Ovis aries: one gene and its partners. The protein of the gene in region 5 purifies or fractionates together with the protein of the main gene of each other region. This does not show direct contact. Links are inferred from orthologs where the notes say so. Each region holds a gene or a part of one and is shown on either strand. Other genes may lie near its edges. The genes, in order: PHF10, SMARCC1, ARID1B, SMARCD3, ACTL6A, BRD8 and DPF3.

The links.
Region 1: the proteins of ACTL6A (region 5) and PHF10 purify together in Homo sapiens (affinity purification with mass spectrometry; 3 studies listed by BioGRID and IntAct, with this or other methods). This does not show direct contact. The link is inferred for Ovis aries from reciprocal best matches to the Homo sapiens genes ACTL6A and PHF10.
Region 2: the proteins of ACTL6A (region 5) and SMARCC1 fractionate together in Homo sapiens (co-fractionation; 8 studies listed by BioGRID and IntAct, with this or other methods). This does not show direct contact. The link is inferred for Ovis aries from reciprocal best matches to the Homo sapiens genes ACTL6A and SMARCC1.
Region 3: the proteins of ACTL6A (region 5) and ARID1B purify together in Homo sapiens (affinity purification with mass spectrometry; 5 studies listed by BioGRID and IntAct, with this or other methods). This does not show direct contact. The link is inferred for Ovis aries from reciprocal best matches to the Homo sapiens genes ACTL6A and ARID1B.
Region 4: the proteins of ACTL6A (region 5) and SMARCD3 purify together in Homo sapiens (affinity purification with mass spectrometry; 3 studies listed by BioGRID and IntAct, with this or other methods). This does not show direct contact. The link is inferred for Ovis aries from reciprocal best matches to the Homo sapiens genes ACTL6A and SMARCD3.
Region 6: the proteins of ACTL6A (region 5) and BRD8 fractionate together in Homo sapiens (co-fractionation; 4 studies listed by BioGRID and IntAct, with this or other methods). This does not show direct contact. The link is inferred for Ovis aries from reciprocal best matches to the Homo sapiens genes ACTL6A and BRD8.
Region 7: the proteins of ACTL6A (region 5) and DPF3 purify together in Homo sapiens (affinity purification with mass spectrometry; 4 studies listed by BioGRID and IntAct, counting the BioPlex papers as one, with this or other methods). This does not show direct contact. The link is inferred for Ovis aries from reciprocal best matches to the Homo sapiens genes ACTL6A and DPF3.

The regions. Positions count from the first base shown.
Region 1 is NC_056061.1:91,178,691-91,182,190, forward strand, and holds part of PHF10 (PHD finger protein 10), read right to left. Parts: intron 2,939-3,500; coding exon 2,805-2,938; intron 2,716-2,804; coding exon 2,566-2,715; intron 1,999-2,565; coding exon 1,885-1,998; intron 1-1,884. UniProt on the Homo sapiens protein: Involved in transcription activity regulation by chromatin remodeling. Belongs to the neural progenitors-specific chromatin remodeling complex (npBAF complex) and is required for the proliferation of neural progenitors.
Region 2 is NC_056072.1:52,090,186-52,093,685, reverse strand, and holds part of SMARCC1 (SWI/SNF complex subunit SMARCC1), read right to left. Parts: intron 3,472-3,500; coding exon 3,295-3,471; intron 739-3,294; coding exon 641-738; 3' UTR 1-640. UniProt on the Homo sapiens protein: Involved in transcriptional activation and repression of select genes by chromatin remodeling (alteration of DNA-nucleosome topology).
Region 3 is NC_056061.1:81,578,612-81,582,111, reverse strand, and holds part of ARID1B (AT-rich interactive domain-containing protein 1B), read right to left. Parts: intron 2,691-3,500; coding exon 1,907-2,690; intron 1-1,906. UniProt on the Homo sapiens protein: Involved in transcriptional activation and repression of select genes by chromatin remodeling (alteration of DNA-nucleosome topology).
Region 4 is NC_056057.1:115,434,475-115,437,942, forward strand, and holds part of SMARCD3 (SWI/SNF-related matrix-associated actin-dependent regulator of chromatin subfamily D member 3), read right to left. Parts: intron 3,361-3,468; coding exon 3,149-3,360; intron 1,434-3,148; coding exon 1,391-1,433; intron 517-1,390; coding exon 394-516; intron 283-393; coding exon 160-282; intron 1-159. UniProt on the Homo sapiens protein: Involved in transcriptional activation and repression of select genes by chromatin remodeling (alteration of DNA-nucleosome topology).
Region 5 is NC_056054.1:208,341,945-208,346,234, forward strand, and holds the start of ACTL6A (actin-like protein 6A), read right to left. Parts: upstream 2,801-4,290; 5' UTR 2,632-2,800; coding exon 2,607-2,631; intron 1-2,606.
Region 6 is NC_056058.1:47,263,308-47,266,807, forward strand, and holds part of BRD8 (bromodomain-containing protein 8), read right to left. Parts: intron 3,020-3,500; coding exon 2,970-3,019; intron 2,735-2,969; coding exon 2,612-2,734; intron 2,497-2,611; coding exon 2,416-2,496; intron 1,974-2,415; coding exon 1,909-1,973; intron 1,275-1,908; coding exon 1,138-1,274; intron 601-1,137; coding exon 382-600; intron 1-381. UniProt on the Homo sapiens protein: May act as a coactivator during transcriptional activation by hormone-activated nuclear receptors (NR). Isoform 2 stimulates transcriptional activation by AR/DHTR, ESR1/NR3A1, RXRA/NR2B1 and THRB/ERBA2.
Region 7 is NC_056060.1:82,481,867-82,485,847, forward strand, and holds the start of DPF3 (zinc finger protein DPF3), read right to left. Parts: upstream 2,801-3,981; 5' UTR 1-2,800. UniProt on the Homo sapiens protein: Belongs to the neuron-specific chromatin remodeling complex (nBAF complex).

The DNA of each region.
Region 1 (3,500 bases), on a different chromosome or scaffold from region 5:
AGAAGGTTTCCAGTTTTCTTCTGTTATTAAAGAGAAATGCACTAATTCTGAACAATGATAACAGCCTTAATATTAATCCCAAATACTTCTGAAAAATGATTAGAGGCAATAAATAATTTTTTCACTTTGGTGCTCAAATGGGGACATGTAACCAGTAAAAAGCCTAAACGTCTTTTCGCCTAACCGTGTAAAGCATACATTTGAATCTTATTATCGAAGATAAATGCCTCTCTCCTTTGCCCTCAACAACCCGGTCAAAGAAGCATCAGCAGTGAAGGCGGCAGTGAAGGATGAAACTGCGGCCACACAGAGCCAGGCACAAAATCCAGCTGCCTGACCCCCTCGCCTCCGCCATCCTGAGCCGTCAGCGCGTGAGCCCCTCGCCCTCACACGGGAAGCAGGCATGACAGCAAGTCCACCTCACAGAGCGGATGCGAGCGTCAGATAAACGAGCACGGGGCAGTCGCAGCGGGCCACGGCTCAGACACCGTTTCAGAAACACAGTTTCCAGGAGCACAGCATTTAAAACCTACTTGGGCAGCAGGTATTCTAACCAACGTGATCACTCTTTCCTCTAAAACTAGGGACCGGCCACCCCCTCCCCAGGCAGCCGGCACGTGGCCTGCTGAGCGTGTCCACGCTGCCGCCGCAGGACCACACCACGGCCACACCCTGGCTCCTCAGTCGGGAGTGGACACGGATGAGCATCCTCCTCAACCAAGACATCCCACCAGGAAGCAAAGGGTGGGGTGCGGGGGAGCACACAGGGCTATCACCCAATAATCTGCTTCGTCCAAAACGAGAAATGTTAAATTGCTGACACCCTGCTGCAGAGAAGCAGCCAATTCTGACTCCATGTTGAACTGTTTGACTAGCTTTTCGTTCTTTTGTTATTATAATCAAACAGAATGTCCTATCTCAGAGGACCCTACCCCTCTACGTGACAAAAAGTGCCTTTAATCAGAACGCGGGGTCCACCCACAGATGGCAGGAGGGAAGAAATTAACACATCCCCTGCCTGAGACTTGACATTCTAGGAGATGTTTGCAAGATTAATTAATGGTCATTTTTCCTTTGCTTCCTCACCTCCCTCCATTTCTGATGTATAAAAGAACCTGGCATCCAGACCCCAGAAGATGGTTATTTTGAGGCACTAGCCTGCCATCTACTCAGTCAGCCAGCTCCCCAAATAAACTCTCTTTCTTGCCTCAAGCCCGTCTCTCAGATGAGAGGTGAGGTGTGGTGAGCTGAGTAAGCTTGGACTATGTAACACTATGATTTCAGTCTGACTTTCAAAAGTATAATACTATGGTCTATTTTAAATACTACTGTCTAAAGAATATTCTCTCTCCTGAAAACATAAGGGTTCTCCGGAGGCAAAGGCTGAGACTGACAAAAGTAGCTGGTTCCATCGAGGCTGGGAAGGAGAGACACGCGGCACCCTCGCCACCAAGCGGGGCAGCAGCCAGGCCAGGGCAGCAGCAGCCCCGGGCCACCGCCCTCCTCCCCATGGGCCACTCCCGCCTCTCCAAGTCCCCCTGCTTCTGTGAGCACAGACTCCACGGCTGCAGGGGGGAGCCTGGGCATCTCCAACCAGCGCGGCTGGGCCCCGGGCCACGCCCTCGGGACGGCGGTCTGCAGCTCCCCCGGGTTCTCGTCCCAGAAGCACAGACAGGTGAGCAGGGAGGCAGCGTCCCAGGCTTTAGCAGCAGACGCTCAAGTTCAGAGAACATTCTTCACAGACCCGCAGAAGACAGAGAACCCCGGCAAGAACCTTACACCTCTCACAGCGAAGCTCACAGAGCTAGGCACTTCCAGGAGACAAACACAGGCCGTGACGTCTCTCACCAACCCCAGTACTAACAGCAAAGAAAGCCCCAGCAGGTACCTTTTGTAGTATTCCTGGAACTGTCCGGGGATGAGGGCCACCGGGTAGGAGCTGACCTTGGTTCGCTCTGTCGGTAGCACTTTGTACTTCCCTTGAGGCACCTGGATAACCTGAATTAACACAAAGAGAAGCACAAACCTGATTCCAAGCACAGAGGTAACGCCTTTAGGAAACTAGGCCCCCCTGCCCTGCACTGCGCTTCTCCCAGGAGCTGTAACCCAGGGACCAGCTGGCACTTCTAGCTCTACAGGCGGACGTGTCTGGCTGTTCACCACGGCCACTGAGGAGAGGCAGTATGTCTGCTCACCGCGTATGGGCTACTCAAGAAGCCTTTGGAGCTCAGCTGCCTCGTCCATGAAACGGAAACAGTACTAGTTTCACCTCCCGCAGCAAGGGCAAGAAGTGCATGAGCTACCGTGGAAACCTCTTCCGTCCACCCCAGCACACGGGAAGCTATTCAGCTACCAGACCCCTGCAGCAGCACGCCCACCACCCAGCAGGGAACACATCACACACGCCGATGAGAGGCACACAGCAGCAGGCACACAGACGGCAGCCTCGGTTCAGGGGAGGCGAGGACACGCTGCCAGTGCAGGGCACCGCGAAAGCGGCACTCAGCAGCCCAAGGTCACGGGCGGCCAGTCAAGCTCAGGGCTGGTGACCGTTAGCGACCCTACGTGCGTCTGCAGGTCGAAATAAGCTCTTCTCTCCTCCATTCGCTCCCGATTTAAGTTGCTGTTAAATTCAGCTGCTTTCCTCGCAGCTTTCTTAATGTACTCAGGCACTTTGCTGGCTTCAACTTTCTGAGTATTCTGTTGTTGCATTTGCTGAAATAAAAATATTACAGTTGGAAGTTACATCTAACTTTATAAAATGTGATTTCCCAAGCCAAAATCCTGGTTACCTCGATACTTACAGAATACTCTTTGTAGTGATCTGTGATTCGCTGGCGCTCTTTTTCCTGGAGAATAACAGAGTATTCGGCATGCTTTGCTGGATATTCTTTTATCATTAAGTCAATTACTTCATCACTGCGCAACGCTGTTAAACCTATTTCAGACAAAAAAAGTACAGAGGCTCTTTTAAAGCTAACTGAACATACTGATTTTCAAAACTGAGTTTCCTCCAAACTACTCAACATAAAAGAAGCTTTCCAATATTCAAAGCAAAATTTTATTTTAATATACTCAAAAATAAGAAAAAATAATACTCATAATATAAAATCAAAGTTATAAAGAAAGAGATTACCAAAGTTGCAATGGCAAAGAAATCAATTTTTTAACCAAACTTCTTTAAGACTCCATGTACTATATACAAACATATATCCCTTTACTAGAAACAAGAGCTAAATAATAACACACACTAACCACTGGCAATTAACAGGGTATCAGGTGAGAAAAACAAAGGCTTTATCAATATGCTTCCATTCTTAGCCTTCAAATCCAGTTTACTAGAAATATTATAGAACCAATTCAAATTTCACCAAAAGCATCAGCACACACGTGAGTCATACCAACAGTTTTTTAAACTCATAGTATGAGATTATACCAATTGTCGAGATGAACTCCCATGGTTTTATATTAAAAAGCTGTACTAATATATTTAGGAAAGA
Region 2 (3,500 bases), on a different chromosome or scaffold from region 5:
CACTTTTCCCCATCTCTTTAAATTTTGGTGCGTCCATGTGTGGCAAAAGTCTCATGAAACTTCACCATCAGCACCATTCTTAGCTCAGATAAGCAGAAATAAGGTCACTTACAATGCCTTAAGGTTTGTCCCCTCTGGCTATCCCCTCTGCCCATCAATATTTTTTGGTTCCTATTAACTTAGGATGCTCTCCTTTAAAGCAATAATGACCAAAAGGAAAAAAAAAGAAAAGTGATAATGATTATAAAGCATTATCCATATAAGCATAAGACAAAGCAAAAACAGAACAAAACTGCAGGAGAGCAAAAAATGATACAGACATAGACCACTAACGTTGACAGGACCTGCAGACACACTGTCAGCATACCCCACAGCGGGTCAGGGAGACGCCAGGTATTTCAGGGCGACCAGGGCACACTGGCAGCAGTGGCTTCCCCTTGAGTGCTGGAGGAGGACTAACACAGCAGGTGTCAGAGCACGGAGAGGGGTGGCAAGAGGAATGGGGAAAAGTCAGGGTGCGTGCTTGGGGCTGTGAGAAGAAAACTCCTGAAAGAAACCCAAGGAAGCGGAGGAACACAAGTCTTGTCATCCCCACTCCAGCTGGGGGCACTGGGCGCGGACGTCCCCTGTGTCTTTCGGGCTACGGTGCAGCTGAGGCTGGTGGGCCAGGAGCGGGAGGTGGAGGGCCTCCGTCCGCAGGTGCTGGAGGTGGTGGCTGCTGCTGCGGCGGAGGGGGATCTGCAAACACATCCAAAAGGAACTTGTCATTGCCGGAAACACAAGGGGCCTGGGCAAGAGCCCATGCAGAGAAACAGGACTTATAAAGGAAGTTTCTTTATGGCCTGTGAGGCACGGCTGCTGCTGAGGGCTACATGGGGCGGTCCACCTGAACCTCCACGTCACCACCTGTGTGGCTCCCCTGACCCACGCGGCTCGGGGGTGCGGAGGTGTCTGAGTCCGCCCCACTCTCAATCCCTCCAGACCTTTGCAGAACTTAATTATATTTTGATTTTATCATTATCTTAATGGTTCTCACTGCTAATTCTCTCTCTTCAGTTAAATGATAAGCTCCTTCCTGGACAAGTTCTGTGTCTTCTTTGCGTTCTCTCAGAGTGCCTAGCCTAGCTGGGGACGAAACTGCCTATCAGAAACTGCTGGCTTTTATGAACTGTCTCCACCAGGGTCACAGAGATTGACTTGAGGCAGCGGCCAACAAGCTGGATAGCCTGGAGAGGCCCCGCAACTCCTGAACTGTAGTCTTTAAATTTTTGGCCAAAACTAGGTCAGGTCCTGAAGGGAACAATTAGGAAAGGAGCTCTTTCCTATTTCTACTTTGACTGCTTTAGTGTACAAAGCAACCATAGAGATACTTCAATCCAGGGTTTTAAAAACTTCAAGATTTTGCCAGGGATGAAAACGAATTAAACAATTAAAGCACCTCCTTGCTTACCAGCTAATTCATCCAACCTTCCCCTCAGGAGGTGTCCACCCAATTGCTAAGGCTCTTCAAAGCGTTTTGAAGCCCACCGATTTACTCCCTAGTGTCACCTTTCAGGGGAGCAAAGTAAGGCCTGAAGAGGGAAGTGACTTGCCTGATGAGGCCTGCCCAATGCCCTGAAGCCAAATCAGCAGCTCAGGATCCCTGAAATTCATCTGGGGCAGGAAGTGATGGGGAGCACCCCAAACATTCCACACCCTCAAGGTACTGCACTGAGGGCCCTTCAGGATGGAATCATGTATACAAATCAGGTGTTATCAGCAGGACAGGACAGTGGTAAAGACCAATGATATTATGTTTGCAACGGGGATGGCAGCGTGGTCAACCCTCCCAGTCAGCCAGCACATTTTTACACTGCCTGTGGGGCAGCAAGGCTAGGAAAAGAGGTACGCACTAGACTATGATCTCTGATCCTTGATGTAACAACAAAGATCGCTTAAAAAAAAAAGTTTTTTTTATTTATTTGGTTGTACCGGATCATTAGCTGCAGGATCATGCATTAGTTGCATGCAGGATCATTAGTTGCAGCATGTGGGATCTAGTTCCCTGACCAGGGATCAAACCCGGGCCCCGTGCACTGGGAGCGCAGTATTAGCCACTGGACCACCAAGGAAGTCCCTCGTTTCTCAACAATGATCCTGTACTGACCTGGCTCAAGTGCTGTCTTTCTTCTGTGCACCTAAATCTGTCCTTGTTCCTAGGAGTCCAATGAGAAAGGAGATGCACCTGTGTTGATGGCACTTGTCTCCTGGCCCTAGGAAGTCTCCCAGAGAACTATAGTGAGCTCAAGCCACTCAATAGCCTTGTGTAACTTACGGTAAATCCTACACTACTATCCATTTGTTCATGTTTTATTTTCCCAACTAAAGCTCCTGGAGGCCAGGAATACCTCTGCATCCTAGCTCTCTGTATTGTATTATAAATTCATTATTATTACTTTATGTTTTTGTATTATAAATACATTATCATTTTATTATAAGCTGTATTACTATAAACAAACAGGGGCTGACTCCACCTCATGAGAACCCAGGTCCTCCTCTAAAAGGACCTGGGATCACAGATGTGGCGGGGTACATGGCCACTGTCAGCTGCATTTTGGAATCATTACCATGGTCCACAGGGTAAGAGGGCAGGCCAGGCTCTGATGCACCCCTTTGGAGGCCAGGGTTGGAGCAGAACAAGGGTTCCATGGCAAAACCGAGCTGGTTTTGCACACTGCCACAGACACTGTTCATCAGCATATGTGCCCGCTCGATGGAGCCCGCTAAGACTTCAAACTCCTTCTCAACACAGCCCTGAATACTCTTTTCTAAGTCTAAGCAGCCACTACCAATATATTGGACAAAAACTTATTATTATTCTTGCCCTAAACCAGACTCTATTCTTTTCTTTACACTTACCTCTTTTAAATCCTGAATCCATAAAAGGCTCCTGTACAGAAAATAACTACCAGTAGTTCTGTGTATCGACTCAGATTCAAATTAGATAGCCTCAAACAGGCATGGGTGAGGTGTGCCCTTGGCCTTGCCAGAGCCCTTGGTGTCACGAATGCATCCACGAAGGCTATGGAAGGCTCCTGACTAACTGGGAGCACTCTGTGCTCACCACCTGGGTACCTGTCCACCAGGGATGCTGAAGCGCAATGACCAAAGCCCAGGTTTCAGAAGCGCCCCTCACAGGCCATCCTGTCCAGGGATCTGTCACACCCCAGAGGGAACAAACGGTGCTTGCCTCCCTTGTGTACAGCTCTCCCCAAAAGTCCCGAGGGTAGTGCCTCCCCCCACCTGGGTACTTACACATGCCGTTAGGTGCCGTGAGGGGTACCCGGGGTCCTAAGATGTTTCCTGGGATTGGAGGCATACCAGGAGGGGTGGGGCCACTCCCAGGGGGGTGGATGCTGGCTGCAACGGTGGGCATCATGCGGCCTGGCATGGGCTGCCCAGGCATCATGGAACCTGGGCCTGGTATCTGACCTGTGGAGGGAGAGTCAGAGTACTAAGGT
Region 3 (3,500 bases), on a different chromosome or scaffold from region 5:
CATGATTAATATTAACTCTACACATGAAAGAATAGAACATAACAAAAGAATAAGAAAAAGCAGAATGTTAAGTTAAAATATTGATTTAAACAAAGGTTCCAAGGGACAATTAAACATGGTCATTTCACGTGGAGGTTGACAACTGACTAAGAAACTTCTGTGGGTGAAGAGCTTTCTGCTTTGCAGGTTAAACAGAAGTGGGAATGATTCTTTCTGTATTTGTCATCTTTGACTCTATTCACAAATGTGTCAAGGTAGTATCTTCAGAAGGCTGGTGAATATGTAGAATATAAGCAAAATTTAATTCCCAAACAGCATGCTCACTGATAGAAAGCTTTCATTCTTCCATGCCGTTTTCTGTCTGAGCTCTGGACCACAGAGCATGCTGCTGACAAGTGCTAGCATTTTGATGGTTCTGGTTTTTTAGGAGCCTGGCCTGAGATGGAGGCCAAGAGGAACGATGAGAGGAAAAGTTTTTAAGATTTGTCACAAGATGGGGCTGGAGGGGAGGCCTGTCGTGTGTCTGAAATTTCAAGGGAAGCTGTCTCAGGAAACTGGTGGAAGCACATGGTGTGAGCAGCTGGAACTCCCCACAGCATCAGCCAGGCCAGATGCCAACTCCTGTGTGGGAGGGGCCGTGGGTGTCCACTTTTATTTTAATTTCATCTAATTTTCAAATTTTCTAAGAGAGGCACATAATACTTGTGTAATAGAAAGGCAAATTTCATTTTAAAATCAGGAACATAAGTTTCCCTAGGCTGGTATAACATGCACTAAGAATTTTTTTCCAAATTTAAATGCATTTATTTACTTAAATTGGAGAAGGAAATGGCAGATCACTCCAATATTCTTGCCGAAAAATCCCGTGGACAGAGGAGCCTGGTAGGCTATAGCCCATGGGGGTCACAAAGAGTCAGACATGACTGAGTAACACACACACATTTGCTTAAATATCTATACACATACACAAATACATGCTTATTTTTACATATATATTACCATATGTAACACGGTGCCCAGGATCTGTTTCTCTCTTGCCTCCAGCACGTCCTCTATGTAGAACTCCTTACTTCCCCCTACCCCGCCCCTTAATGTCCAATGATTAAAAACATTGGTCATATCTTTAAAATATTTAATTTTCTCATCACTGCAAAGAACTTTGAGTCATGTGATTTTGAGATTTTTGGGAAAAAAGTTTGGATAAAACTGAACTCTATTATTTCCTTAGCTGCGTTAAAAGTATTTCAAAAATAATGCAGAAAAACTGTGTGTATTCCCAGATTTTCCAAATCTCTAATTAGGATTTAGGAGATTCCACCCGGATGAGCGTGTGACAGCAGTGTTCACCTGAGAGAGTTCCTTGGCCCCATCAGCAGTGCTGCAGGGATCACCTAAATTCTATCCACATGTGAAGTTCCATAGAGCACATTATGTCTATATATACAGCATAGTCAGTTTTCTGGTTTTGCTCCAAGGGGAACTCACTGTCTGTATGTCCTTACCAAAGTTACAGAGTGGCTTGCTGTCAAATTTTTTCAGGCCACCCTAGTGTTCCATCAGCCTCACAGCTGTTCTCACATCATGGCAGAGATGATGTGTTTGGTTAAGATAAAATCTTTAAGCCCCAAATACAGTCCACAGTCACTGAGAAGTCCCCGTCTCTCACCTGGGGCTCTGCCCTCTCACACTAGTAAACACTCACATGCAAGAAATCCATTTTAATTCTCCCTCTCCTTAATTCAGAGGAGGGCCTTTCAACTATTGCTCCTGCACAAAAGCACGTCCTGATAGTCTGCAGTCACAGAATTTCATCCCTTTGAGGTTATCCAACTACATCTAACCCAAAATTAAAATTCTAGATGGCAACAGGAAATCATTTCAGGAGCAGAGCCTTGGGAACGCTTACCGATATCTTTTGAGGTAATCTTTCGCCTTTGTTTCAGGACTGGCTGTGAGGCTTCCACGGAGCCAGGAGGGAAAGTGATCTCCCTTCTGATGGGGGGCGGCTGGGGGGGCGGCCCGGTGACCTGGGACGTGGGGACGGTGGGCAGGACCTTCTGCATCTTCATGGAGGGGAGGAAGGGGGACTTGCTGGGAGACATGCGGCTCTCCAGGGAGCGCTGGAAGGAGGCGGGGCTGGGCGCCCTGGAGATGTGGTTTGGCAGTGAGGGTGGCGTCTGGTAGGACGACTGAGGCGGGCGCGTGATGGGCTGCATGGAGGCTGATGAGGACATGTAAGGCTGACGCTGGCTGACGTGGGAAGGCCACTGGCTCTCGTGGTTTATCCTCTGATCAGGGACCATCATGTCATCGGTGCGGTTCATGCCGGGGTAAGGCGGGGCCTGCGTGGGGCCGCCCGGGCCTTGCCTGTTCTGGTAGGGATAAGGCATATCATTGCGGGTCGCCCACATGCTCTGCTGAGGCCCTTCGCTGGAGGATGACTGCATCGGGCCGCCCATCATCTGGGGCGGGATGGCGTGCGGCTGTATCTGCCCTGGGCCCTGTATCCTCTCTCGGTTGTAGGGGTATGGATACTGTCCCTGCAAGGGCCTCCGGTCCGGGCCGGAGTAGGAGCTCCCGTACTGGTTGTACATCTCCTGCTGCTGGCTGCCATACTGCATGTTGTACATGTCTCCCTCGTGGCGTTTGGCTGGAGGCCCGTACATGCCATCCATATGGCGCTTGTAGTTCTGAAAATTCAGAGACAGATCACACTAATGTGCTTTTACAGGTATAATCACGCACTTAAATTAGGCAAAATAGTTATTACCTGGTGGAATGTTCATTTCAAAATGAATATGGGAAGCTCCCACGTCCACGGATAGCAGTTTAGGTGCGATGTTCAGCACTACACAAACCACTGCATGTACTCTGTCTGTTTTCACGTACTTCAAAACTTCCGTGGGGAAAAACCAATCCTCCTCTCCTGGTATTCTCCAGGTGGATTTGGGAGAGCAAGGCGAGGGTGACCACCACACAGGCCGCACGGAATGAGGGCTTGGAGATCACAGGGATGGCTTGTGTAGCTGGCCGGAGACCTCACCACAAGTGACAGAGCGCTCTGAGGGCCAGCCCGAAGGGCTCCGGGACTAAACAGACCCCTTGGGCCTAACTTTACAGAAAAGCCTCCACACAGAGCTTGGCTCCTCACTCTGACCTGTGCCCCTGACACCTGACGTTGGATGAACCCCACTCCAGCCTCCAGCTGGTCTGGGTCTCCTCCAGGAGAACCTCTGAGGACAGGGCTGGTATGGCCTCACTGAGCTCCCCTCCCAGGAGGCCAGGGCTTCCACCACCGGATGGGCTGGGAAGCTCCTGATGAGAGCGCAGGACGGAGGCACGCATATGGCGGAACACTGTTTAAGGTGCTGATTTGATGATACAAGTCTCTATACAAACATGCTCTGGTCAAATTAATGTTTAAAACCCCTTCTATTTTACAAGAGGTCTTAGACCTGAAGAGTTGTTTAGTGACAGCAAATTCCTGTGTCTGACATGCA
Region 4 (3,468 bases), on a different chromosome or scaffold from region 5:
GGCCACACAGTCAGAAGCAGGCCTGGGCACGTCTCTCTGGACCACCCTCCCGCAGCCAGGGCTGACTTCCCCAGCCCTCGGTGTACACATCCAGTACCGGCCTCAGCTCAGCCCCATACCCACCCCAGGACACCTGGAGAGACCTGGGCCAGGACGTACGTCATCCAGGAGCTTCCCCTCCACCCGCAGCTCCCAGGAGGCGATGCTGCCGTCAGAATCCTCGGCATCGGGCTTCGCAGGGTTAAAAGTATTGGAGATATAAAGACGCAGCTTGCGCTTTTGCTGTAGAGATAAACAGTGTCATACAGAGCCAGTTCCCAGGGGGCCAGCCCTGGCTTCTCCCTTTCAGGGACTAGGACTTGGCGCCCTCACCCCACCCCCAACCCAAGGCACCTTCATGGGCCGCTTCAGAGCCTCCTGGATGTCCACCCGCTTCCTCATGATGGTCTGATCCAGTTTCCTCTCAAACGCCAGGAGGTCCATGTAAGCCTGGGACTCCGGGACCAACTCCCGGATCTGGAAGTGGGCAGGAAGCGAGGCAGGGAACCAGGGGCTCAGCCAGTCTTGCAGCTGGAACGTGCAGGTGTCACGTGGCCCCAGGAGTGTGCGAGTGTGGCGGGCAGGGAGCTGGCCACATTCAGGGCAGGGAACTTGGACAGCGCAGACGGGACCTCTGAATCCAGCCATGAAGGCCTGGATGTTACAGGGATGAAACTGCTGCTCCCACTAGAGATATCCATGCATTTCATCACTAGGGGAGGCCGAAGCAACCATGGAGGCCAGCAGGTGCTTAGGGCTTCACCTCCTCATCCTGTCCTTTCCCTGTCGCACAGCCTCTGGGTTCCCTTGGGCACCTGTGAAGTGGTCAGGGGCCCCTGGGGTCCCTGAGACAGGAGATGTCGCGGCTTGGGCCTACAGTGACATCTCATCCAGATGTTCTGCTCGAGCTGGGGTCTCAGCCGTCCTCCAGACCCAGCTGGGCCTGGGTCCCCTTACGCTGCTGGGCCTTCCGGCCAGCTTCTGTTCCCTTCTCTCCTCTGCCAGCCTGTGGTCCCCGAGCCCTCAGCCCCTCTTTGTCCCCTGCCTTTATGTCTCTGCAGACCGCTGGAATTCGATCTGCAGCCCCCCCCCCCAGACCCAGGATCCTACCCCCTCTGGCTCTGCGTTCCCCTCTGCCCCACCCCATCCTTTTGGCCCTGGGGGAGCCTCATTTCTTAATTAGCTTTTTAAACAAAAAAAGTGAAAGTGACTATGATGTTGAAGCGCTGCTCCTGAGGGGGGAGGGGAGGTGGCCCGGGGTGGTGGTGGCGGGGAGTGGGGGGGAGAGGAGGGCGGAGCAGCAAAGGGTTGGGGGTGGGGTGGGCTGGGGGCTGCTGTGAAAGGCACTCACCCTTTGAGGGAGGATTTTGTCAGCCATCTTCCTCCTCTTGGCACTGTACATTTTTTAAAGAAAAAACCAGGTTACCATGGCGACAGATCTGGGAGTAACGAGGCCACCTGCTAAATTATCCCGACATCTCAGCCCGCCTGGCTGGGGTTCCCACAGCCCGCTCATCTGCCCGCCCGAGGGGCTATGCCGGCGCCGGCCGTGTGTGGCTCTGTCCTCTCATGGGGAGCGGAGGTGACTCTGTCCTTTCTCTGGCCTGGGAGCCCCTTTTCTGCCCCGCCACATCCCCAGATCCAGAGAAATTAGCCTTGGAAGGGGCTCGGAGCAGGGGCGCTGCAGAAATGTTTGGGGAAAGCTGGGCAGAGGCAAGGACAGAGTGGGGGGATGCATTGTGAGGACTTTTTTTCCCTCCTCTGAGAAGGGGCACACAATCCAAGGTGGCTGAGCTGGTGGGGAGGGGAGCTGACCCCCTTGCCCCATTCCAGAAGCAGGAAGTGATGGTGTGAAGCTGGTGAGGACCAGCACCCCAGCCACCCTGGGCTAGGAAGGGGACCCTGATGGGCAGGGGGTGCTCATGCCCTTGGACCACCTGCCAGCAGGGCCAAGGGACACACCCACAGGTATCCAGATAGAGTGGGTACGGATGTTCCCCTCTGGGGTGTGGCTGGTGGGCTGAACCTGGGGTAGCAGCTGGGACTTGGACTCTGCTGGATCCACTAGCCGGTTCCGACTCCCAGAAGGAACCCCAGAAAACCCTTGGCGAGTAGAAATTAGAACCCAGCCTAGGGAATGGCTGCATACTGCCCCCGTGTGGTGGTCTCAGCCACTGCCCCAGCCCTGGTCAAAAATCTATTCAAGGCTAGACAAGCAGGTTTCACTAAAGGTCTGGTTTGTTTTGAAGAAACTATCTCTGTGAAACTCTCCAGTTGTACAAGATAAATCAGGGACTCTACAAAAGAATGACTCACTTCGCAAAGAATTCCTCATGGGTTTCCTATAAATGGTGAATTTTCCTTGACATGTAAAAAAATATTTAATAATGAGGTAAAATCCACATTGCACCTTTTATAGGACTCCATCTGGTGCGCAAAAGGAAGCATGTGTGTTTGGCTAAACAGTGAAACCCAGAGGGGTATCTTCCTTGCCAGGCACCAGCAGGGGCTTTTGGGGGTGCCACTGGCTGGCTCAGACAAGGAAACAGACTGGCCCTTGGTGGCTTGAGGGCAGACCCGTCCAGAAGACAGACCGTGGCAACTCCTCAACATTTGAGTGCCCAAGAATCACCAGAGAGCGCCAGGGGGCAGAGACTGCCCACCATGGGGCAAATCCCAGGCTCTCCCGCCACTGGCCAGGGATTCAGATTAACAAGATCCGGAGTGGGGCTTTCGAGGAGTCAAGCCAGGGGCGCTTCTGAGGAAGGCGCACTGGACAACCGCGCTAGGAACCGCAGTGTAAAGCTCGGCCCTGAGCCCTGGTGCCACAGCCCCGCCTCCATCCCCCGAGAACCAGGGGACTGGGGTGCAGAGAGGGACAGAGCAGGTGACAAGGAGAAGGGCGCGACGGTCACAGCCTGTCTCCACGGTGTGGGCACACAAAGAAACCGGGACAGTGCCCCCTCAGCCCGCCTCCTGGGAAAGCATCCCACCCGGGACGCCTGATCCCTGCTGACCCCTCTCCGCCCGGGCTTCCCACCCCGTCCCTCCGGGTCCCGCGTCCGCCCCCTCCGCGCTGGGCACCCCCCCTACCCCCACCCCCGCTTACCTGCGGCTCCGCGCGGGGGCGGTGGGCACCGGCTGGCCCTGGCTCTGGGCCTGGCTCTGGCCGGGCGGGGGCGCTGCTCGCTTGCGGGCGGGCTCCATGCCCGCGGGGGCCAGGCCGGGTCGCACGGCGGGGCTGCCCATGTACGGGGAGCCCGGGGGGCCCATGGGCGCCCCCTGGTGGGGCATCCGGGCTCCAGACGGCATCCCGGGGCGCTGGGGAGGGGGGTCGGGGGGGCGTGAAGCAGACACAGGCGCCCGGCGGTCAGAACCAGGGCTCCGGGCTCCAGGCGCGCGGAGCTACGCCTCCCCCCGAACCCCGAG
Region 5 (4,290 bases):
ATACTGGAAGCTGACTTTGCGAAGAGGTAAGAAGGCTGTTTTACTTTTTTGTTTGGACAAGGGTGCCCCAATTCACAGGGAGAATGATTTTGAGAAGTTTTTATGATTAGAGATGGGAAGGGGGGCTGTGGAATGATAAAAGTAATGAAGTATCGAAGATGGACCGGTAGTATACCTGTTTATTTCTGTCAAGGAAAGGAGACTGAAGCAGAGGAGTACCGTGTAAGATAGACACAGGAGCAATGAGTAGGCCCAGAAACCAGTTATGGAAAGTGTGAAAATCTGGATGAACTGTGCATTAGATCTAAAGCGGAGTGTTAGGTCTGATCAGGAAAAAAACACTGGAATAAAAGAGCTACCAATTTTAAAAATTAAACTACAAACATTCATTTTATAAGCAAGTTAGTTAAAAATACAGTTTACTAAGTTAATTACACACAAAATGTGGGTGGGAGGTTTCGTTGCCTTTTACAGTAAACCTTTTGGGAAATGTGACCCACTATAAATACTGGTCATACAGTAGCAGCTCAAACACAAAATCATACACTTATTTTTGTCAGTTTTAAATACTTTATATGTGAAACAGGCTTTAAGATATACTCCTCTACATGAACAAAGTGATGTTTATTCTGAATATCTAAATCATACATGAATATGCTGTGGTTATATACTTGAAAAATGACTTAAAATTTTTTTAATGAGAAAAGGTTTTACTGAAATGCCTTTTCTTTATCCCAGAAGTTCCTGTTGCCCATTTGCTAGAAAGTTATGTAACTCTAGGCTGGTTAATCTTTTCTATGCCTTATTTTCTTCTTTAGTAATATGGGGAAAAGTAGAACCACCTCCCATGGCTGTTGTGGATTAACTGACAATGCATGTATTAAATACAATGCATTACAAGCCTCTGTCATGAAGAACAGTTCCTGGTACACAGGATGCACTCAATAAATGTTGACTGTTGCAATTATTGGTATCCATTTCTACCTTACTCACATTAAAATACTCAGTGGACAACCTTTAGGTCCTTAGATGAGTGAACCTGAGAGTCAAAACAATCAGCAGGGACTTCCCCATAGACAGCAGCCCACCAGGCTCGCCCCTCCCTGGGATTCTCCAGGCAAGAACACTGGAGAGGGACTTCCCTAGTGGTCCAGTAATTAAGACTCTGTGGTTCCCACGCAGGGGGCTTGGTTCTGTCCCTGATCTGGAGACTAAGATCCCACAGGCTGTATGGTGAGGCCAAAAACGAAACAAAACAAAAAATAGAGTCTGCAGCCTCCACGAGCACGTATACTCAGCTTTTTTGTCAGAATTACATCTTCAGGTGGGGAAAAAGTAAATCATGAAGATCCACTAGGCTTTCTCCAAAGTAACAATGGAAAACTGATTCTTACACTTCAGAAATCAAAACCAAAAACATATATGGAGAAGGAGAGGGTGAGGGCCAGCGTGTCACCTGAGCAGAAACTCAAGCTTCACTTCAAAACTACTAAAAACTTTGAAAAGCTTATTTTCATCTCCTACCTATAATATTCCATCCGCTCAGAAAACAGTATCCTTACTGAACACAGTAACAAAAGCACGACTTTGAGTTTCTTTCTTCTCTAATTCATCAAAAACATGAATCATATACATCAATGCTTCATCTAAGCATCTCGAAAAAACGGAGGCTCCAATTCGGTAGATTTAGAGTGGGGCTTGAGATTTTACATTTCTAAAGAGCTTGCAGGTGATGCTGCTGCTGCTGCTCCTTGGATCATACTTTTAGTAGTAAGTGCAGCATTACCGCCGTTTAATCTTCACAACCACCCCAATGGGTAGGAATTATCATTCTACAAACGACGAACCTGAAGTTGGCAAAAGTTAAGTAACTTACCCAAGGCCAATGAGCTTACTAAGTGGTGAGGCTGATATTACAACCCAGGCCCATGGTAATCTTTCACTACACAGGAGCCCACCCATCTTTAAGCAACCTTAAATTGCATATGTTCCTAAATTACGCCGGTGCAGAGTCGCCCACGAATAAGTCCGGAGCATCCACAGTCAACAAATAGGGAGAAGTTATTGAAAGGCGTGAGGCTGCGTGAGCGCGGATGGAGAAGGAGGCTGTGTCCTGAGTGGCCACGACTCCTCCAATCAGTTCCACTCCTCGCGGCTCGCTGTGCCACCTCCGAGACGCCGCGGAAACCCTCCAGCCACGCCGACGAACTGCTGGGACCTCCCAACTTTAAACGGGCGCGCACACCGCGACAGAGCCGGCTGGGAGAGAGGTGACCCTGCGGCCAGTCACTCCAGCCGCGGCTCTCCGGGCCTGGCCCGCGAGTGGAGCTGCCCGACCAGCCCCGGACCGCGCGCAGCCCCAAAAGTCGGCTCCTCGGCGGCCCGAGGCTGGAAGGGGCCGTAGGGGGCGGCGACTCCCGGCGCCTGTAGCGCTCGCCGAGCCGGGTGGGCTCCGGAGGCGGGCAGAGCGCGGGGCGGGGATAGGGCGGGGAGGCCGGGGTCCCCAGGGGGAGACCGGAAGGGCCGCCGGGAAGGGGAGGGCTGGGGGCGGCGGTTACAAACCCCACAAGCTAAAAAGGCGCGCTCTCCCGACCGACCGCACTCACCTCCCCCGTATACCCCGCCGCTCATGGTTGCTGTCGACGAGACTTCTACTCGTAAAGGCCACCTGGCGAAATGACTGCAACGGCTGCGACTGCGGGTCTGCAGAAGCGCTAGCCCCCGACTCCCTTAACTTCCACCACCACCCCCCTCAGGCAACAAAGCGGCGGCCACACACACCCGGAACGCAGTCACACTTGCTGTCTCCTGCTATCGGCCAATCACAAGAGGCCCGGCTACACTTCAACCAATAAAAATAAGGCTGTGCTACAGCCTTGTCGCGGCACAGCCAGTTTAGCCAATCGAAGGCAGCCATAGGGGCGGGGAGAGAGGAAAGCGACGGAAGGAGGGAAGGAGTTGGGTTGCGGAACCGGGGAGGCGGGGCTTCTTTAGTGGGAGGGAAAGTGGGGCGGAGGGAGCTGGAGGGGGAGGAGGAAGGCTGGAGGCAACAGTCTGGGGCGGGCTCAGGATGTAGCTGGGAGCGGAGGAGAGGTGGGAATCCGGTAGAGCAAGCTAAGCCTCTGAAAAAGAAGTCTGGAATTTGAGAAAGTGTCTCCACCAGGAGTACCCGTGGTTTGGGCTTGTAGTGAATGAGGGTTGGTGTTTTTTTGTTTTTTGTTTTTATTTTTTTCAGAAAAAGTATTTTCAACTAACTGAAAAAATTGAATGTTATCCTCCACTTTGGGGTAGAGGGCATCAGTAAACCAGACAAACCGATAAGACCCTGGAATTTTAAAAGTGGTTACTAATAATTAAAAGAAGGAGATGACACAGTATCCCAGTTAACTTTAGTAGCGCTTAAAATGTGTCATCAATTCCTTTTATCCTGTGAGGCAGGTGTAATACAATGTAATCAGTCCTCACCTGAGCGAGCACCTAATCCTAAACACATCTCGGAACGGTCTGTTCTTAGTCCCCTGTGTCTACCAACCCAGTCAGATCACCGTTGTCCCTCTCCCAGGATTACTACAACAATTTGTCCCTTTGCCTCTTAGCAGGCAGCTTGATCTATAAAAACTCCCAAATCACGGTCATGTTGTAAATCCTTGAGGTTAATAGCCGTCCTTAAATTAGTTTGTCTAGAGTCTAGACATATAGGTAGTTTTTAAGAACAATTGATTAACTCCATCAATCTCAGTGCCACAGAGTGGCAGAAAGTGATTGTAGGATAGGGAACAAGGCTAGTGAGAAAACCCTTTACTATTCACTTAGTGTAATCTCGGTTGTTGTTCACTCACTAAATCGTGTTTGATTCTTTGTAACTGCATGGACTGCAGCCCACCAGGCTTCCCTGTCCCTCACCATCTCCTAGAGTTTGCTCAAACTCATGTTCATCCAGTCAGTGAAGTGAAATGAAGTTGCTCAGTTGTGTCCGACTCTCTGGGACCCCATGGACTGTAGCCTACCAGACTCCTCCGTCCATGGGATTTTCCAGGCAAGAGCACTGGAGTGGGTTGCCATTTCCTTCTGCATCACCAGATGGTGATGCCATCCAACCATCTCATTCTCTGGCCTTCCCTTCTCCTCCTGCCTTCAATCTTTCCCAGCATCAGGGTATCCCAATCATTTAGAAACATCGTTTACCCAATGAGATAATGCATAAGTCAGCAAAGTATGGCCCCAGGGCCAAATTACCCTGCCTTGTTTTTGTTTTAATGTTAATTAAAAAAATTTTTTTAATTGAAATAT
Region 6 (3,500 bases), on a different chromosome or scaffold from region 5:
AACAAAGGCGAAGGCTACACTCAAGCTTTCCTTTATTACCACTTCCCAAAAAAAGCTCCAGCAGTTGGCCAAACTTCATGAAACTAAAAGTTAATATCCAAAGAAAATAATTGTAGACCCGGGGAAACTCTAATTTTCAAATGTTATGAACAAGAGTCCTCTGGAGAAGAGAACCAAAATAATTATGGTTTCAGATACCTCAGGACCCAAGGATACTATCAACTACTTGTTTTGTTTTTAAATTAACATTTAACTAGGAGATCTCTTCCTCTTTTGAACTTTTTTTCCATGTATATTTTAGGTTATATTTTAGGTCCCAGGCACTCCCTTCCAAATTACTAAATCACCACAGCTCTCAAACACCCACAGAAGTCTCCATACCAGTCTGGGGCTAGTAGGCAGGAGGCTGCCCTTCTTCAAGAGCTCTGACAGCAGAGGGGAAGGGGGTGGAGTTGCTTTCTGTCCAAGCATCTTTTTCTGGGGTGAATCATCTGTTACTGGGGTCATGGGGGCTTCTAAGGGTGCAGAGCCTGGAGGAAGGGTGTCAGGAATTCCAGGAAACGAGGTGACTGGGGTACTCGGCAAAGTCCCAGGGGTTACCTAAGAGACAACAGAGAACCTTTATCTGACTTCTCAAACTCAGGAAGGTTCCCTACTAATCTGGATGGGTTAGTGTATCTAACTATTACTGTATTAGTCCTGAGCGGAACTGCCCAGAAACCCTCAACCCCTCTTGCTCTTAATCACACCTTTCTCCCTCCCAAATTTTTCTCTTCCACCCACTCAAACCCAAAATGACCCAATCTTTCCACCCAACTTGCCTTTTATAAACTCCTTACCCACTACCAATATTGTATTTACAAAGAAGTCATCCTATATTTCAGCAAGAATTTCATAAGACCAGTACACTTACAAGTAATTCCTTAACTTAGTCTTTTACCTATTTCTAAGAACGGTTCAAAAGGCTCAATGTTTTTAGGTCCATTCTTATCCTAAAGCACAGAACATGATGAGTCTTCAGCATTCAGACCAAGAGAGGAAACAGTCTTTAAGCCAAAAGTGGTTTCCTCATTACTCAGCTCTCAGCTGGCTTATTGCCCCTTGCTGATCAATTCCTGTGGATGGAAATACACTCACCCCAGAGGCGGCCTCTTCCATAGTGGTTGCAGTCAAGTCCGCAAGTGGATAATCACCTCCAGGGGAGGCAGAATCTATAGGAGAGCGGACCATCACAGTAGGTAACCTCCGAGGGGGTGTTTTTACTGCTTGACGGGCTAGAACATAAAAAAGGATTTCTGTCTTCAAGATTAAAAAAATAAAACTAGACTCTGCTATTATACAACAAAAGACAAATAGAGATGTTGTATTACTAAAGCAGTGTTAAGAATCTAGATTAGAAAGCTTTCTTTGCAAGTTTTTAGCCTAATTTTTCCTATGAGCAAATTCGTATACCGTAAAAGTTCCTAGAGTAGGAAAGTAGTTTAAACATCCTTCAGTATCCTCTACAACAACTTGAGATTCTGCTTTAAACAAGGAAAGACCTTATTGGTTCAGAGCATGTAATCCTGGAGTTATAAATGCTTAAGTTTCCCCCCTTATCCAGTGACTGAGCTATTCTCAGTCTTTTTACAGAATCTGACTTCTAAAACCTTGTTTATGTTCAGTAGGTTATTATCAGGCTTTTGTACTTAAAAGAACACAAGGTCAAGTGAGTTCTGAATAGAGCTCACTTTCTAAGAGCTTCTTCCTGGACACAAAGGGACACTTTTATTCTGATGAAAGAGAAGATGACAAAGGAAAGTGTGCAAGTAAATTGGAATTAGTGGATTCTGTGTTAACAAATATTTTCCGCCTGCCATCAACATGCAGTACTGCACAGTCAACTGCTAGTCATTAGGTTCACCTTACCCTGATATGCTGCATCTGTAGCCTTCCTCTTCACTTCAGCCTCCTCTTCCTCCAGTTTCTTTTTCCTAAAGAGAAAATTAAGGGTTAGATCCTAGCCGACTCTAGCTCCTCCACAGTTCATAGTGCCCTCACAAGGAAATTTTTTTTTGCCAGGCTAGCTCTTTTTAGAGGAAAAGCCTAAAGGAAAAAAAAAAACACACACACACACAAACTTTATCAGCAAAATAGGGAAGTTTGAGTATACTACCTAACTACCAGTTCTTTACCTCAGCAAACTAGAGCCACTTTTAAGTTAGAACTAAGTTATGTTCTCACGTGAAATGTTCTATCACATTACCTTCTAAGACTCACCACCCCCTCCCAGCTTCCAGGCCACTCTGCAGCTGTCCCTTTCCAAAAATCTCTCAAGTCTAAAGGGGTAGCAGATGTAGGAAATAAACCAGATTACATAAGGAGTAAAGAGGGCAAAAAGAGAAGGAGTATAGATGGAAAAATAATATAACCCACATCGCAATGTCATTGCAAAGTTCATCCAATCTGCTGTCCATGTGCCCAGCTTGAATTAGTTCTGCATCTCTTTTCAGTCGTCTGTAGGATGAGAGGTGGGTAGACTAGGTTTTTCAATCTATTTAAAAATTTCTGACTAGAGTAAGGTAGCCCCATTTGTCTCTCCCAACCATTTTGCATTCTCTCTGGTATGTACCTATATTTTTCCTGGGTTTCTTTTATCACTTTCTTTAGTTCCTCAACTCGCTCAGCAGTCAGTTTCCGAACAATGACATCTTCAACAGTTTCTACCACTTCTCCCTTTTCACCCCGTTTCCGCCTATGGAAAATTTTAAAAAACACATACAGACTTGAATAAGAAGAACGTTATTTCTACTCCCACTTGCTTTCTTTGAGGCATCTTCACCACATAACCAAAGATTATTACTATTATATTTTTACAATTTTTTCATACCATAATATAAATAATTTCTTTGTTTTAAAAAAAAGCAGACTTCTACAGTAAATATTCTCCACTAAAGAGATTTGGTTCAAATGCCTGGCTCTGTACTCACTTTGGGGTCTCCGTGGTCTCTAGAAGCTCTGAGTACTGGGAAGCACAGTGCTGTGGAAAAAGTGAAAACATGATGACCAAGCCTAAAAACGGACGACTTTTTAAAATTTCAACATAATACACTAAGGTTTAGACAGGAGAGCTATATTTAAGGTATGAGTAGCTTAGGACAAATTACTTTGCAATCAAATCAGTTCAAAACAATCAACACCATAATACAGAATACAAATATGTATTTGTATAATATGTAATACAAATTCTGGCATGGAATTTGTGTATTGGGGAGAGACAAGCTAAGAGCCAATATTTAATATCTACTGAGTAGTTACCATATACATGGCACTGAACTAAATGTTTTCTAGGTATTATCTCAACAAAATCTTTTAAACAAGCTTGAATCAACTTTTATCTCTATTCTACAAATCAGAAAACTAAGGATCATGGTTCAAAGTTTTAAGTAAAATCATATTAAACTCAGATCTGTCTAATGTACAAGACTGGGTTTTTCACTCCTATGCTACACTGAAAAGAA
Region 7 (3,981 bases), on a different chromosome or scaffold from region 5:
GCAGCTCTAGTAACACCTCCCATTTGTACTTTACACTTTCTGAAGTGTTTTCACATCCATTGTTTCATTTGGGCCCTTCAGGGGGTGGTAAGCAGGGCTTAGCGCAGGGAAGGGAGGCCAAATGAGATGCATGCCCTTCTCCCCTTATGAAAAGATAGGTCAGATTTACTACCTCCTGACCTTCAAGCTGTCCTGTCATCCCAGGTGTTTCCAGCAGGAACACCTGCTGCCTGATGAGACCTCCACTGCCTGGGAAACCTTCGCTCCAGCCCCACCAGGTGACAACTAGTGCTGCAGCCTCTGGGGCCTCCCCATATCCAGACCCTGACCCCAAGGGAGTCCCTGCCCTCAACGGGTTGGGGGTGGGGGGGTGGTGACAAGATGAAGGCAATCCTCTGGCTGGGGATAAAAGAAGTGAGTCTCTGAGTTCCTGGGGCATTTATCCTCCACCCCCAAAATAGTGGTAGTCCTAAAGTGGGAGGCAGGTAAAGAGGTTGAATTCTATGATGCCATGAGTATTTTTTTTAAGTTTAGAAGAAAGGAGTTGCCTATACTATCTAGAAATGTACTCCATGAATCTTAGTGAGTCTAAAAATGAAGGGGGGGTCTAGGCATATACCCCAAAGAACTGAGAGCAGGGATTCAAACAGCTACTTACACACCCATGTTCATAGCAGTACTATTCACAATCGCCACAAGGTGGAAACAACCCCAGGACCCATCCCTGGATGCATGGATAAGCAAAATAAGGCATATATATACAGTGGACTATTACTCAGCCATAAAAAGGAAGGAAGTCCTGACACATGCTGTAACACAGATGAGCATTAAGAACACTATACTAAGTGCAATAAGCCAGTCACGAAAGGACAGATATTGTATGATTCCACTCATATGAGGTGCTTAGAACAGGCAAATTCATACAGACAGAAAGTACAATGGTGGTTACCACACTGGGATGGGGTGGGAGGAGGATGTCCTCATTAAAACAGAGGATGTTATTGTTTAATGGATATAGAGTGTGTTTAGGATGACTTTTTAAATTCTGGAAATGAATACAGAATATTCTGGTAGTTATACAACACTATGAATGTACTTAATGCCAGTGAACTGAACACTTTAAAAAAGGCTAAAATGGTATGTCTACATGTCATACATGCTAAATATACATGTTATGTATTGATACATCTTACCACAAGTACAAAAAAATTTAAGGGACTGCCTCTGTAGGCTGGAGGTCAAGGAGACCATTTTGTTTTTTCTTTCATTTTGCCTAATTCTCACAATTCAGGCTTCTGTGAATGTTCTGATGGTTTTAACAACCCCCTCTTCCTCCTTTAGACATGTAGAAAATTGCCAAGGGAGCTAGCTGTCAACCAAAGGAAAGCCTGATAATAATGCCTCCAGAGGAATCTGGCATGTTCTGGAGGCATATCACTGAATGAGAGGCAGTGAATTCCACTTTAGACACTGCTAATACTCACCTGCGTAAGGCCAGACTCTGTGTCTACTGAACACCTCCATTTCCTCAGCAGCATCACGGGGTGCAACAGAGGAAGCTCACTGAGACATCAGTACAGGCCCACCCACTGCAGTTCACTGAATGGTAGGGCATTTGCAACTGCCCAAATGGAAATGAAGTAAGCATTTATTTCCATGTTAACTGGGATGGGTGCCATGTTAGAAGAACAGTAGATTGAAGGAGACTGTAGATAAATGAAATCCAGAGAAGAAAATCTTTTGCTCGGTTCCCTTTCTTCCACCATACATTTACACAAAACAGGAAGAAAAAGAGAGATGTTCTCAATAATTCTAGTCTTTTGCACAACCAAAAACATAATCTGAGTGCTTGTAAACAGAAAAAAATAGGCCAATTAATCTTCTCATTTCTCTTTCCCGTCTTCATCCCCTGGTTGGAGTGTTAATGAGGAGAAAAGTGTTCAAAAGGGAGCATCAGAAGAAAAGACCACGTTCTCAGTGGGCCACCACCTGGCCCTCAGCCTTGGGCGCTGAGAAGAGAGAGATCAGAGCCCAGTGGCAACAGAAGGTGGCAAGACAGGAACCAGAGAAGATGAAACTACAGGAGAGCCTACCAGTCTTAACTCCCTTTTAGAGCCACACTTAAAAAATGAGGAGGAATTCAAACACTGGTCCCTAACTGTCCTCCTCATCCTTCCTAATCCACCATAGTCAAGAGGCCCCAGTTTTTTACTGGAAAGGAATTTGGCAATCAAGGTGCATCACCCTCACCTTTAAGACAAGGAATATGTGGCTCAGAGAAGTTCTGGGTCTAAGGTCTCATAGCTGGTGAGCAGTAGGGCTGAAAACTGAGCTCAAATCTCCGGGATCCTCTCCCTGAAGCTTTTACTTCTGAAGCTACAAAAGCATAGTCACTGGTGAGAAAGTATAAGAGGGATGGAGTTTGACATAAGGACATAGGGATGACTGGTGAAAGTTTGAGAACTGAAAAACCTTTTCTGGTGGAGCTTCCAGTTGAAGTTAATACCACAGCAGATTTTTGAAGTGAATATTCAACAATGAGAAAAACTCACTCATTTCATAGCAACCTAAGATGACAGCAAGCTCTGGACTCGAGGAGGGAGGAGAGGGTGCAAAGGGGGATTAGACACGTATCATCATTGTTCCTTGGACTCAGAACTAAGTCCTGGAGGTGAAGGTCTCAACGTGGGCTATTTGAACCCTATTATTAGGAGCTCCTGCCCCTCCCTGCTTTCAAACACAGCCCCCTAAATCTTAGCCTGCTTTCCTTGTAACCCCCCACCTACTACTACTATTCACAAACACACAACCTAGACATTTCCAGCATAGGTTGCTCCTCTTCTCCCCTCCCCTGACCCAAACACCTCCTAGCCACTGCTTTTAAAACTCTGATGCAAATCACAGGCTTCAAAAACCTTCCTTCAGTGACAGTTTTATGATGCTAGCTCCATTCATCCATATGGGTTGACAGACTGTGAAACACTAGTAACCGGACCAATAAGAAAAACAGATTACAAAAACACCACAACACCTCATCTCTCCCCAGTTGCTCACACAACTAAAGAAAACTTTGGAACTTGCAATAGATCATAACATCAGTCTCTCTTGCTGTTAAACAATCATCTTCTCAGAGTTCCAGACCACACAGTAGTTTTATCCACTTACCTATCCCCTCCGTATCCCCTCTCCCCAGGCCACTTCTTTATCTTTCCTTGTTAAATACCTACATGTTTAAAGATTATTTAATGCTAGGGTCATGCTTACATAGGCCCCTGCTGGAAAACCATGGCTGGGCAAAAACTGTTTCAGTGGTTGTGGCATTTCAGGGGCTTGCCACATTGGGCTACATTTGTCTTCTAGTGACTTTCAGAACACTCAGAAACCACAAAAGTTACTTTGCAGAGGTTGGGATAATAGACAGGCCTGAATTCTGATGCTTTTCATGACCCACACCCAGCACCACTACAATCAGGATGGCTGTACTTTCAAAACTGAAACATTAGCCTCAGTTTCTTTTCCTTTTCTGGTGCAAGCTCAAAACAAAGCTTGGTTGACCATGGCATTTTATTTTCTGCACTGATCTGAGCAGATGGCTCTGGAACAGCTTTAGACATTATGGTGTTTCTCAGATGTACCTAAATTTCAGCCACCTGCATGGTTCCAAAAAGACAAAGGAGGATGAGAAGTCTCCAATTAAGTTGCCTCTGAATTCCAGGCCACTTTCTAGAACTAAGCAACTCCCATTCAACTGGAGACCTCTGAATGTCTCCCAGGTGGTCTGCAACCGCAGCAGTTCTCTGTGGCGATGCCTCCATTTGGGTTCTGGCAGAAATTAATAACCTTTATGGGTATCTCATCAAAACCAGACATGCTTCCCACTGAAAAATAATGTGTGCTAATGAAGTTTAGAGAATTTAAGGCTTCCCCCCGCCCTCACCCCAGTGGCAACCAGAAGCAGATGGAGAAGGTGGTTCTTAGGCA